Linked DNA regions of Pelodiscus sinensis. The protein of the gene in region 1 binds, or shares a complex with, the protein of each later gene. Links are inferred from orthologs where the notes say so. Each region holds a gene or a part of one and is shown in the gene's direction. Other genes may lie near its edges.

Region 1 (3,746 bases):
CCCAAGAGATGTTGCCCAGAGGATTAGTGGGGGCCTGGCACTGGCAGCAAAGGTCGGGCCCTCCTGCACTCCCCATGGCAGCGGGAAGTTGAACAACCCAGCCCTAGCCTAATTCCCAGCCATGTTGCTTGGAAAAGCAAAGCAGGCTGCTGGGTCACTCCGCTTCCCACTGCCAGGGAATGTAATGTTGCAGTGCTCTGGTGTCAGCACATGGTGGCATCTTATTCCAGGCCCAGCACAGCTGGATAGGGTGAGCAAGTGGCATTTCCCAAGGAGACAAACCAATGCCCGCACTTTTTAAAGTGTCAACAAGTGCCCAACCATAGGCCCTGGAACAACCTCCCCCCACCATCCAGGAGCAACCCACCCGTAGATGGCAGAGCACAAAACAGGCTGTTGTGTCTCTCTGCTTCCTGCAGCTCCCGACGCCATTGGTTAGTGTGGGGTGGGCGCAATCCTTGCTGCTAGTCCCAGGCCTTCTGACAATCTCCTAGGCTGCTTTGGTCTCTGTAGGCCCCCCAAAGCATGAGGCCTGGGGTAGCTGCCCCAAACTGTCCAATGGGCCTGATTTTCAGAGGCGCTAAGCACCTGTAGCACTCATGGATTTGATTAGGTCATTTCTGAAAACCAGGCACAATGTGCCTGAAGTTGGGATCTTGTAAAAACTGGTTGGGTGCTGGGACAATTTTTATAGTGAGGGTGCCAAGAGGGGACCCTCTAGATAATGAAAATCACTTCAAACCGGGGAGGTGTGGGGGGGAGGTTGTTCCAGCGCCTATGGTTGTTGACACTTTAAAGAGTGCGGGCATTGGTTTGTCTCCGTGGGAAATGCCACTTGCTCACCCTACCCAGCTGTGCTGGGCCTGGAATAAGATGCCAGCCTGTGCTGACCCCAGCGCACTGCAACATTCCCGCGGTCTCTGCTTATGTTGTGTAGCCCCCTCCAGTCAGCCTGTACCCAGCCTCAGCACCAGCCCCGCAGCGTCCCGGCACCTTCCCGAATCTCGCGCCGACTCACAACACGCTGCTGAATATTCATGAGCGGCTCGTTAATTATTCATGAGGTTTCGCGGGCTTTTGCCGACCACGTGGGATTGTTTCGCGCCCGGGAGTTGAGTTGGCGGAAGCTGTAGCGGCAGCGGGGATGGCGGTGAGCGGCGGGGTCCGGCTGGGGATGGAGGAGGGGACCCTAAGCACGAAACCCTCCCCCCGGGCTCTGCATGGGGGAGGGGTCCCTGAGCACACAACCCACCCCCGTGCCCTGGGCTCTGCATGGGGGGGGGACCCTGGGCACACAACCCCCCCCCACATGTCTTGGGCTTTCTGTGGAGGTGGGAGCCACTTTGCATGGAAAAACTCCCCCCTCCCCCCCCGTTAACTCTGTATGGGGGAGGGGACTTTTAAAGAAGGTGTTTTCATATTTGTTCATTTTTTTTAATTGTATCCTTTGGTATATATGGTTGTGACTATTTTCTTCCACTATTTGATCTGAGGAAGTGGGTCTGGCCCACGAAAGCTCATCATCTAATAAACCATCTTGTTAGTCTTTAAAGTGCTACATTGTCCTGCATTTTGTGTCTATATGTGCACAATAGGTTAATTATTGAGCTTATTTTAACTTCCCTGGTGGAGATGGCTTGTCCCTTCTCAGACCTACTCTGGCACTGTGGGGTCTGCTGGGAGCGTAGACCAATCAAGCATTAAACATCCCTTCCACTTTATCCAGTTCCGTGGTCCCTGGAGGGGATGAGTTAGACCTGTGCATGCTCTATGGGAAAGTCTTTTTCTGCCAGCCTCTAACACGACTCTGCCTTTCCTGCAGGATTCCTCCGAGTCCCAGAATGTGGCCACCAGCCCTGTCCGTAGCTCTCGGCGAGATACCTTCACTTCCAGCCCAGGCAGAGACCTGCCTCCTTTTGAGGATGAATCAGAGGGGCTACTGGGGACTGAGGGGCTCCCTGAAGAGGAGGAGGATGGGGAAGAGCTGATTGGGGATGGGATGGAAAGGTAGGGAGCATGCAGCAGTCAGGCAGCGACGCGAGATGCTTCCTGGGGCTGTTCCATGCAGGAAGCATGTTCGCAAAGGGGGCAATACCTCTGGACACAGGTTTCAGGTTCTTTTGAGGGCCGTTAGGGAGAGAACTTGTTGTCTTCAGCCTGGTCCTCTTTTGTGCACCTTTCAGAATATACTTTGTAGATCAGCACATTCACGCTGTATGGGTGTTTCTCAAGTGCCTCTTAGGAGGGCATAGTCCATTCCATGCGGTGTGTCAGCTGAAGAGAAGCATGAGATGGGAAGAGCAAAGGGGATACACAGCACTGGTGAGGGCTATGGACAGATGCCCATAGCTAGGATAGCAAGTCAGAGAGGAACGGTTGGTGAGTTGTGAAGGTGAACGTGTATAATTCCTGACCAGACTGTGTCTGGCTCAGATCAGTGCTAGCCCCTCACACAGGGGAGCTCGAAACTCACAATCCTGCTTGTTCTACAAACAGTGGAACCTTTGTAACTGGGTTTAAAAAACCCATCACTTACCCCGGGTCCAATAGCAAACCATTGAGCTGTATGTTACAGAGACTTAGTCTAGGTTTGTATATTGGTATCTATTGTCATTGTATTGGAGTGTCTGCCACTGGTAACAAGAGACTGTAAAATTCCTCTCTGTTTTGCTTGATCTTCCTCATGCCACCTTGCCCCAGAGAGTAAAGAGTCTGGAGAAACACTGTAATTTGGTTGCACCGCAAAACTGATTAAACTAGATCTGTGTGTGCCTAGGGACTACCGCCCGATTCCAGAGCTGGATATCTATGAAGCTGAGGGGCTGGCCTTGGATGATGAGGATGTGGAGGAACTGACTGCCAGCCAGAGGGAGGCAGCAGAACAAGCAATGAGACAGAGGGACCGTGAGCTGGACCGGGGCCTGGGTCGCATGAGGAGAGGGCTGCTTTACGGTATGTCAATGATATTTTAGATGCGATTGTCTCGTTGCAGTAGAGGCTAGTCTCTCTCCCACTGGGAAGAGCTCAGCCCGAATAGCCTGCCCACTGTAGGCGCTCCAAAGTCTGCTGAATAGTAGCTATTGAGGGGTCTCTGCGGCAGTGGGCTCACCTGAATGTCCCCCATACACAATCTCTATGCGGTGAGCACATTAAGAGCTCTGGCATATTAGCCTGGTGCCCTTGACTATGCAGCTGCTGCCGAGTCATGACTCCAAGATCCATATAAGGATTTGGGCTTGTGCTCGGTAAGTGCTGGACAGACTGCTGCACTCTTGTTACGAAGATTGTTGGCCCCTTTCTCTAAAGGGACCATAGATATCATTAACCCTGAGATCCAGTCCAGTACAGTCCTCCTTTCTTCTTGCTCTGGACGCAGGTTTTGATGTCACCCTCTGTGTACAGTTTTTGGGGCCCACATGAAGCTCTTGCATTTGCCTCCATAATGTCTGAAAAGCCAGTGCAACTTGCTTTTGGTACCTATAGCTTGGGGTTTGCAGTAGACCAAATCTTGGATTGGCATGGGGAATAAACACAATTTGGGGAATTACAGACCATCAATCACCTTAACTTCAGTATCTAGAAACATAATGGAGCAAATAATTATGCAATCAATTTGCACACACTTAGAAGGTGATAAGTAATAGCATAAATTTGTCAAGAACAAATTGTGTTAAACCAACCTAATAACTTTCTTTGAGATGGTAACAAGCCTTGTAGATGCAGAGGAGGAGTAAATGTGGTGTATC
Region 2 (3,746 bases), on another chromosome or scaffold:
GTCCTGCCTTGAGGGTGGGGGGCTGGACTTGATGACCTCTCGAGGTCCCTTCCAGTCCTATGATTCTATGAATCTAAGGATAGAATATCAACCCCTTTAGCATCACATCAGGGAACTGAGGTCAGCATCCACCAACAGTTCTTCCTGAAACCCACTGAACAATGGTGAAGTGCTGCTATTACACAGCTCCACCAGATAGGTGGCTGCATGTCAGCAGTGAGTATCCCTGCCTGTTTAGGATCTCTGCTTCAACAACTTGCCTAACCCACCAAAAGGCCAGCTGCTTCTCTGCACCAGGTGAGAGATTCCTATATAGTCAGTCGTAGTGTCAATTCTAACAGTCCCTGGCTATCTTGTAGCCTGTGAAGTTAGAGTTCTGCTGTGGCACAGATGTTGGGAGCTGTCACATTGGATTTTAAGGGTAGCAGATCACTGCTGTGCCCACGGGGGTTAGGGTGGGGGGGGAAGGTGTTTTCCCCAAAGTCTATTACAAAGGGGGCCATGTGAGGTGTCAAATGAAAGCATGTGTTCTACTGATTCTATGTATGCTATTCATGTACTTGTGATATCTTTATGTGGAGTTATGAATATGGACTGTGCTTATACTGTGAATGTTCTCTCAGAGCAATGGGCTCTGTTCTGCCTGTTGTACAGAGAACTGGAGTGTCTAAGGGGTTTTGCTCATGATTCTTCTGGCTGGCAGGATTGGCAGCTGAAATTCTCGTGTGTCTGGTTTGTGGCCTATTTAGGAAAGGTTGCCAGTCGGGGGCTGTAAGGAGCCCTGGTTTTGAGCAATTCGCCCTGAGCAGACGCCCTCTCCGGTACCCAGATGTGGGGGTCTGTCACAGGAGCCAACATCTCTGGCAAGATAAATGAACTGGACAGTCATGGGAGTGAGGAGCCCAGGAGCTACTTGCTGACCAATAGGGAGAATTAAATTGTACTTAATTTATCAACCCTCATTTTAAATAAACATGGGAAAGTTAATGTTTCACCCGTTTCATAATCTGAAGTAACAAATTCTCCCTGATTGCAGCACTCGCACCTGACCTGGGTGTAAATGTCATTCATGGCGAGGTTTCCATTAGCATTTGTTTCAGCTCGACCAGACTCACACGGCTCCATCTCTAGCACTAGTCCTAGCTAGGGACCGAGTGAGAACTGCACCCTGGCTCGGCAGCGTGTACCGAGCATGCGCAGTACCAGCCTCGGAGCAGCGCGCGTCAGGCAGCGGCCCCAATGCGAGCTCACAGTGGTCTGGGCGGGCGTCTCGCGCGGGACGGGAAGTCCCAGGGGCGAGCAGCCTCTGCCGGCGGCCAGCCGGAGACCCCGTGGGGACTGGGCCGTAGCGGCGCCGGTTAAGGGCTGCGGAATTCAGTTGCTCTCCCCGCCTCAGCTGCGCGTCTTTGCGGCGGTTCTAGCCCCAGCCGTAAATCAGCGCGCGTCCCCAACGTAACGCGCGCGCGCCAAACCGGGCCCGCGACGCGCGAAGGGATGGGGCTGCTGGAGCAGTGCGAGGCGGCGTTCGGCGCCGCCGACCTCTACCAAGTGCTGGGCGTCAGGCGGGAGGCCTCGGGGGACGAGATCCGCCGCGGCTACCACCGGGTCTCGCTGCGGGTCCATCCCGACCGCGCGGCCCCGGGCCGCAAGGAGGAGGCGACGCGGCACTTCCAGGTGAGCCCGTGGGGGTGAAGGGGGCAAAGACGCGCCCCCAGACCGGCACCCCTGGCTGCCGCCCCCCGGGGGAGGGCTCTGTGGGGAGACTCTATTGGCTGCCCCGTGCCGTGAGGTAGCGGCTTTGGGCCATTGTCCTGGCCCGCGGGCCACGGCTGCTAGCGAGCCTGCATCCCGCGCTGCCTGGGCTGCTTCCGTGGGGCAGGGAGACTGAGCACAAGACGTGGGGCCGGGCCGCTGCTCGGGAGCAGGCGCCGCGGAGAGTGACAGTTGTTTGCTCAGCTCCTAGGCAAGGCCTACGCGGTGCTGAGTGACCAGGCGCAGCGGGCGCTGTATGACGAGCAGGGGGTGGTAGATGAGGAGTCAGATGCGCTGAGCCTGGACCGCAACTGGGAGGAATACTGGAGATTGCTCTTCAAGAAGGTAGGTGCTCCCAGAGCCAAGGGCTAGTGACCTAGGGGGGGTCTTAGTATTGCTACTTTTGGGGAGGGGGTCCCATATCTAGTTCTCCTAGGAGTGTGGATGTGTCGATAATTGATAGATAATGATGGATGCTTGCTCTAAAATGCTGCTGCCTTGGTTAGTAAGAGAACTTCTTCTTTCCAGCTATCTATTGTATCTGTGTTGTACTGTCCTAGGCAGTTGCTAATTCTGTTGTTTTCCAACTCTTCTAGCCCAGACCAACTGCACACCATTTGTGGCAATGACATTCAGCCCATCTAGTCCAGGAGAGTTGGCAACCCTAGCCCCTCACTGCCCCAGAGCATGTGGGCAAGACTTACCAGGCAGACACCTGGGAAAGAATTCTGTTGTAACTCAGAGTAGTATAGTATATTTCCGATAATCCGGCACCTTTAGGACCCAGGGGGTGCCAGATTATCAGATATGCCAGACTATCGGAAGGGGTGGCTATGAGGGGTCTGGTCCCAGACTCCTCATAGCCCCCCCTTCCGATAGTCTGGCTCTGCCCCAGGTGTCCCTGATTCAGCTGCTGCTGGTCAGTTTCAGCAGCGGCTGAATCCGGGACGCCTGCAGCAGAGCAGCTGGAGTGCTGCCGGGTTCGTCTGGTAGCGCCGACCCTTGGCGCGGCGAGACCAACCCGGCAGCACCCCAGCTGCTCTTGGGGATGCCTGGGGCAGAGCAGCTGGGGTGCTGCCGGGTTGGTCCCGCAGCACCGCCCCTCGGCGCTACTGAACCAACCCGGCAGCACCCCAGTTGCTCCGCCCCAGGTGTCCCCCAAGTCAGCCGCTGGTCAGTTTCAACAGCAGCTGAATCGGCATGCCTGGGACAGAGCAGCTGGGGTGCTGCGGGGGTGGTCCCCGCAGCGCCACATCTCGGTGCTGTGGGGACCAACCTGGCAGCACCCCAGCTGCTCTGCCCCAGGTGTACCCAAGTCAGCCACTGCTGAAACTGATCAGCGGCTGATTCCAGGAAGCCAGAGCAGAGCTGCTCTACCTCGGGCTTCCTGGAGTCAGCCGCTGGTCAGTTTTAGCAGTGGCTGAATTGGGGAAGCTGGGGGCAGAGCAGCTCCAATGGTCCGGCTGCTCGGAGCACTTCCGGGTTCCTGATGGTGCCGGACCATCAGGGATGCCGGACCATCGGAGTTTTACTGTATGTAAGCAACTAGTCGAATCATTACTTGCTTCTCCTTCCCCTTGCTGCCTCTGTAACAGAGGCAGGAAGGGGGTAAGACTGTGTTTACTGAGACTAGGGATGGCAAAAAACAGCTGTTAATATAACGATTAAAAATCTTAGTGGTTACACACTGTGGGCTCTGCAGGATAAGCTTTATACTGCAGAGTCTACAGCACAGGGTGACAGCTGGCTCCCCGAGAACAGGGCTGGGAGCCAGAGTTGGTGGGAATCAGCTTAAGTGCACCAGCTGCTGGCCCTGCTCACAGAGAGCTGGTTGCTGCCCCGTGCTGCAGGTTTTGATAAGGAGCCTGCAGCCTGGGGCAGAAGCTAGCTCCCCAGGAGCTGGTGTGTAACCGTAACAGAAATGGATAAACTGAAGCTTATTGGTTAACTGTTTAAATGGGTACACACTTGTATCGCTAACTCGGACACAGTAA
Region 3 (3,746 bases), on another chromosome or scaffold:
GGCTACTTGTGAAAGGAAAGGCGGCGGGGCCGGGAGGGAGGGATGGGCGAAGAGGAGGGTTGTTTACTTATGTCCCAGACAGGCTCCCTGAGGCGGCTCCCTCAATGCGTTGGGCCCAAAGGGACAAACTCCGACCCCCTCGCAGAGCAGTGACGTGTTTGTTGCTGGACAGGCTCCCCTAGCGCCTCCCCTGCCCGGGCACAACAATGCACGCGCGATGACTCCGCAGCTTTCTCCGTCCCGTCCCCCTGCGCCCCCCGTTCTTAGGCACCCCCACAAACCCCCGGAAAGGCTTTTACCATCCTGTCGCGCCGTCTTCTTGCTTATACAGCTCTCGGCAGGGGATCCCAGAGAAGCGCCTTCTCGTCTGGGCAGGATCAATGCAGCGACGGCTGCTCCTCCCCCCACAGGAAATCCTCTGCTGAGGGAAAGGGAAGCAGGGAGGAGGAAATCACTGGGCCCTGCCCCTTTGCTCTAAGAGTGACTTTCAGTTTCGACAGGCGTGGGGGCTATCCTACCAGCGGTGAACGCGATCAGCAGAAACCGAACGCCCTCATAGGTCTCAAAGGCGCGAAAAACATTTGGGAGGTTTGGTCCACTGTTCCCACTAAACTACATTTCCCAGAATGCAACGGCTTATCAATAGCCCCTTATTGAGAAAGCCAAGAGACTTCCGGTGCAGCCCCTTGGAGAAAAGGCGGAAGTTGCTTCACAGGCGTCAACATCGTTTTTTGTTAAACAAACGATTTTTCCTATTCACTCCTGAAACAGTTATATTTTAGAGCTTATGGCTTGTTTATATCTAATAGAGGGGCTGGTGAGGAATCTTGCCCATGTCAACAATGGCGACGATGATGGGCGATGTAGACGGACACACAAAATGGCGGTTTCAGGAGCGCTTCGTGGCGATTGGCCAATCGCTCGGCTCCTCGATCGCCACAATCGCAATGTGGTTGGTGGAGGGCTGAGACGATCGGATGGATAGTCCAATCAGAGCTGTAGAGATACAAAGTACTGGAATGTTATTGGGGCGTGGCCAGGACGCTGAGACCAATGGGAATTGGCGCGATTTGGCGCCTGCTTTGAGTGAGACTGAGGAGATCCGAACGGAGGGAGCAACACCAGCAGTCGCCGCTCTCCCGCCTTGCAGCGCGGCGGTAGCGGCCCGGTCTCGGCAATGTTCCTCTCCGACTTCCGTAAGGAGTTCTACGAGGTGATAGTGACTCAGGTAAGCGGCGTCCGGGGCGGGGGGGAGTATGAAGCCCGAACCGGAGCGGAGACAAGCCCAGGGGGAGCGAACCCGCATCCTGAACGGGGCCTACTAACTCCTGGCCCAGTGAGGTAGCGGGTTCCAGCAACCGCCGGGCCGCCCTGCTCCAGCTCCTGTCTCTCTCCCCGCTCCCCGCCAGCAGGTGCTTTGAGGGTAGAGGGGTCGCTCGCGATGGGAGGGCTCCTAGCTAGACTCTGGAGGGTCTTGCGCCTTTCTCCGCGCAACGCCCCGTGGGTCGGGCTGGATCCGCGCTCCGCAGGGTCCTGATAGGGCGGGACCGTGTCACTTAGGGAGCCGCCATACCGAGCCGGGGCCTATGCATTGCCCTGCTTTCAGCCTCATGATAGGCGCTGGGTTCCCCTCCTCTTCCCCCTCCAGAGCCCTGCACCCTGCTCCTCTCTCTCCCACCGGCTGCTGGTGCCAGATGCTGGTTTCAGATCGAACTCGACTGAGCAGGGAGGGTTTGCATTCAAGTTCTGGCTCGGTTGCCCGTAGTGGTCAAGTGGAGTCCTCACCTGGGTACATCACCGCTCAGAGTGTGCTTTGCTTTATTGCCTGGATTCTTTGGAGTGCACTCAGAGCTGAGACGCAAAATGTCTCAGAATCAGCAACAAGGTTTTGGAATGTTTTGAATTGTGAAATGGACAAAGAGCATTTTGGTGAGGACAAGGAGCGGTGACATCTACCTGGGTGTAGCTTGTTGAGAGAAATCCCAGATAGGGAGCTATGTGGAAGTAAAAGCTACTAGGTGCCTTGTGGCCGCTAGGATTTTATATTGAGTTTTACATCAAGCTAGCTGTCTTGATGTAAAAATCAATTACAGGGTTATCTTGACATAAGCCGCTTATGTCAATCTTGCTGTAGGTCTTTATTTAAATTTGGCTTCCAGCATTGGTCATATAAATGCTTCTCTGTGCTTATTTTGTATTACCATCTCCATCACTGTTGATGTAATTAAATCAACACAGTGTCACTGCATTGCATACAGCAACTTATGGCTTTCAGAAGCTGTCCAGTGATGCCCCACATTGATATACAAGTTCTCCAGGCGATGATGCCCACCACTGATACAAGGAGCTACGTGTGTGCTAGGGATGTTAGAAATCCTTTATTTTACTAATTGTGTAACTGCAACAATTCTTAGCCGTTACATGATTATTTGATGTCCCCAGGGGCAGGGCCGGCAGTCAGTATACTCTGGCCCACTCCTGGGAAGTCCCCTGCCACCTTGCAGCTGCTGCCTCCAATTTTTAATCAGCTGTTCTCATGATCCGACTCTCACCTGCCACTCTATGCTGCTGTGTCTGTTTCAGAGACAGCAGTGTGGTGTGATTGGTGGGAGTTGGTCCACCAGGGGAGCTGGTTTAAAAATGAGCTCCCTGTACAGACTTCCTGCTGCCCTTCAATGTGGCTTCTCATACAGCCTGCCTCTCCACTGCTGCTTCCATGGCAGCAGCTTCTGTCTGTGGGGAGCTTGGGCCCACAGTAGAAAGGGGCTGCTCCTGCCTTTGATATAGAGGCAGCAGCACAGGGTGGCGGGCAGCTCCCCTGCATGCTCTTCATATAAAACTTGAACTGATGGGCTGGGACTGAGCCAGCTTGCCAGTCTGAGTTTTAAAGGCAGAGCATGGAGTGGGGTGAGATTTGTTGAGGTTAACTGGGACTGTTAACCAGTAAGCAGTATTTATCAAGTGAACAGTTATCCGGCTGGCCAGGAACATCCCTAGTGTATGCATCAACGAGCAATTTTAAAACTGCAATTGTCTGTATGGTAACCTAATTTTGTTGTGTAGACATGGCCAAAAACTATCAAATGACACTAATTAATATATACCAAGCACTGTCAAGAGTTGTTCTTTTGGTTTCAGAATATAGGGTTATATAAAGTTAGAATGAGAGATCACTTATTTGATTGCAAAAATTTTAAAGAAAAATCCTGTAATAAAATTAATTTACATCAGTTATACGATTGCCAGCTTTTGATAAATGCTTAACATAATTTCAGACATATGAATGCTGAAAATGTTGTCATTTTACCCTTTACATTTTGAAATACAGATTTTAAGATAAGGAAGAACAGATTTATTGAACTTCATCAAAGGGTCAAGACATCAGATGTCAAAGCTGCTGCTTGATAACAGAAGGATCCCATTAGGAAACTGGCATGCCTTTTCACAGAAGAAATCACTTTCTTATGAGTTATTTAGAGCTTCTTGTTAAATCTTTATTGGAAAAACATGTTGCAAAAACATGATATTGCTATAACTTTTTTTGAAAATCGCTATACAGGCAGTCCCCGGGTTACGTACAAGATAGGGACTGTAGGTTTGTTCTTAAGTTGAATCTGTATGTAAGTCAGAACTGGCGTCCAGATTCAGACACTGCTGAAACTGACCGCCAGTTCTGACTTACATACAGAATCAACTTAAGAACCCCAGGCATCCCCAAGTCAGCTGCTGCTGAAACTGATCAGCAG

What was found.
Region 2: the proteins of MCM2 (region 1) and DNAJC9 are in contact, whole or in part, in a crystal structure (PDB 7CJ0), measured with the Homo sapiens proteins. The link is inferred for Pelodiscus sinensis from reciprocal best matches to the Homo sapiens genes MCM2 and DNAJC9. Residues at the interface, in NP_004517.2 of Homo sapiens: Glu65, Glu66, Glu67, Asp68, Glu104; in NP_056005.1 of Homo sapiens: Lys185, Arg189, Arg192, Lys244.
Region 3: MCM2 (region 1) and CDC45 share a complex: the UniProt entries of both Homo sapiens proteins name them as parts of the CMG helicase complex. The link is inferred for Pelodiscus sinensis from reciprocal best matches to the Homo sapiens genes MCM2 and CDC45.

Annotation. Positions count from the first base shown.
Region 1 is NC_134721.1:24,313,184-24,316,929, forward strand, and holds the start of MCM2 (DNA replication licensing factor MCM2), read left to right. Parts: upstream 1-993; 5' UTR 994-1,144; coding exon 1,145-1,150; intron 1,151-1,822; coding exon 1,823-2,007; intron 2,008-2,776; coding exon 2,777-2,952; intron 2,953-3,746. UniProt on the Homo sapiens protein: Acts as a component of the MCM2-7 complex (MCM complex) which is the replicative helicase essential for 'once per cell cycle' DNA replication initiation and elongation in eukaryotic cells.
Region 2 is NC_134718.1:33,557,150-33,560,895, reverse strand, and holds the start of DNAJC9 (dnaJ homolog subfamily C member 9), read left to right. Parts: upstream 1-1,247; 5' UTR 1,248-1,494; coding exon 1,495-1,674; intron 1,675-1,956; coding exon 1,957-2,097; intron 2,098-3,746.
Region 3 is NC_134725.1:17,712,404-17,716,149, forward strand, and holds the start of CDC45 (cell division control protein 45 homolog), read left to right. Parts: upstream 1-861; 5' UTR 862-1,177; coding exon 1,178-1,228; intron 1,229-3,746. Other genes in the region: UFD1 (ubiquitin recognition factor in ER-associated degradation protein 1), read right to left, coding at 300-302. UniProt on the Homo sapiens protein: Required for initiation of chromosomal DNA replication. Core component of CDC45-MCM-GINS (CMG) helicase, the molecular machine that unwinds template DNA during replication, and around which the replisome is built.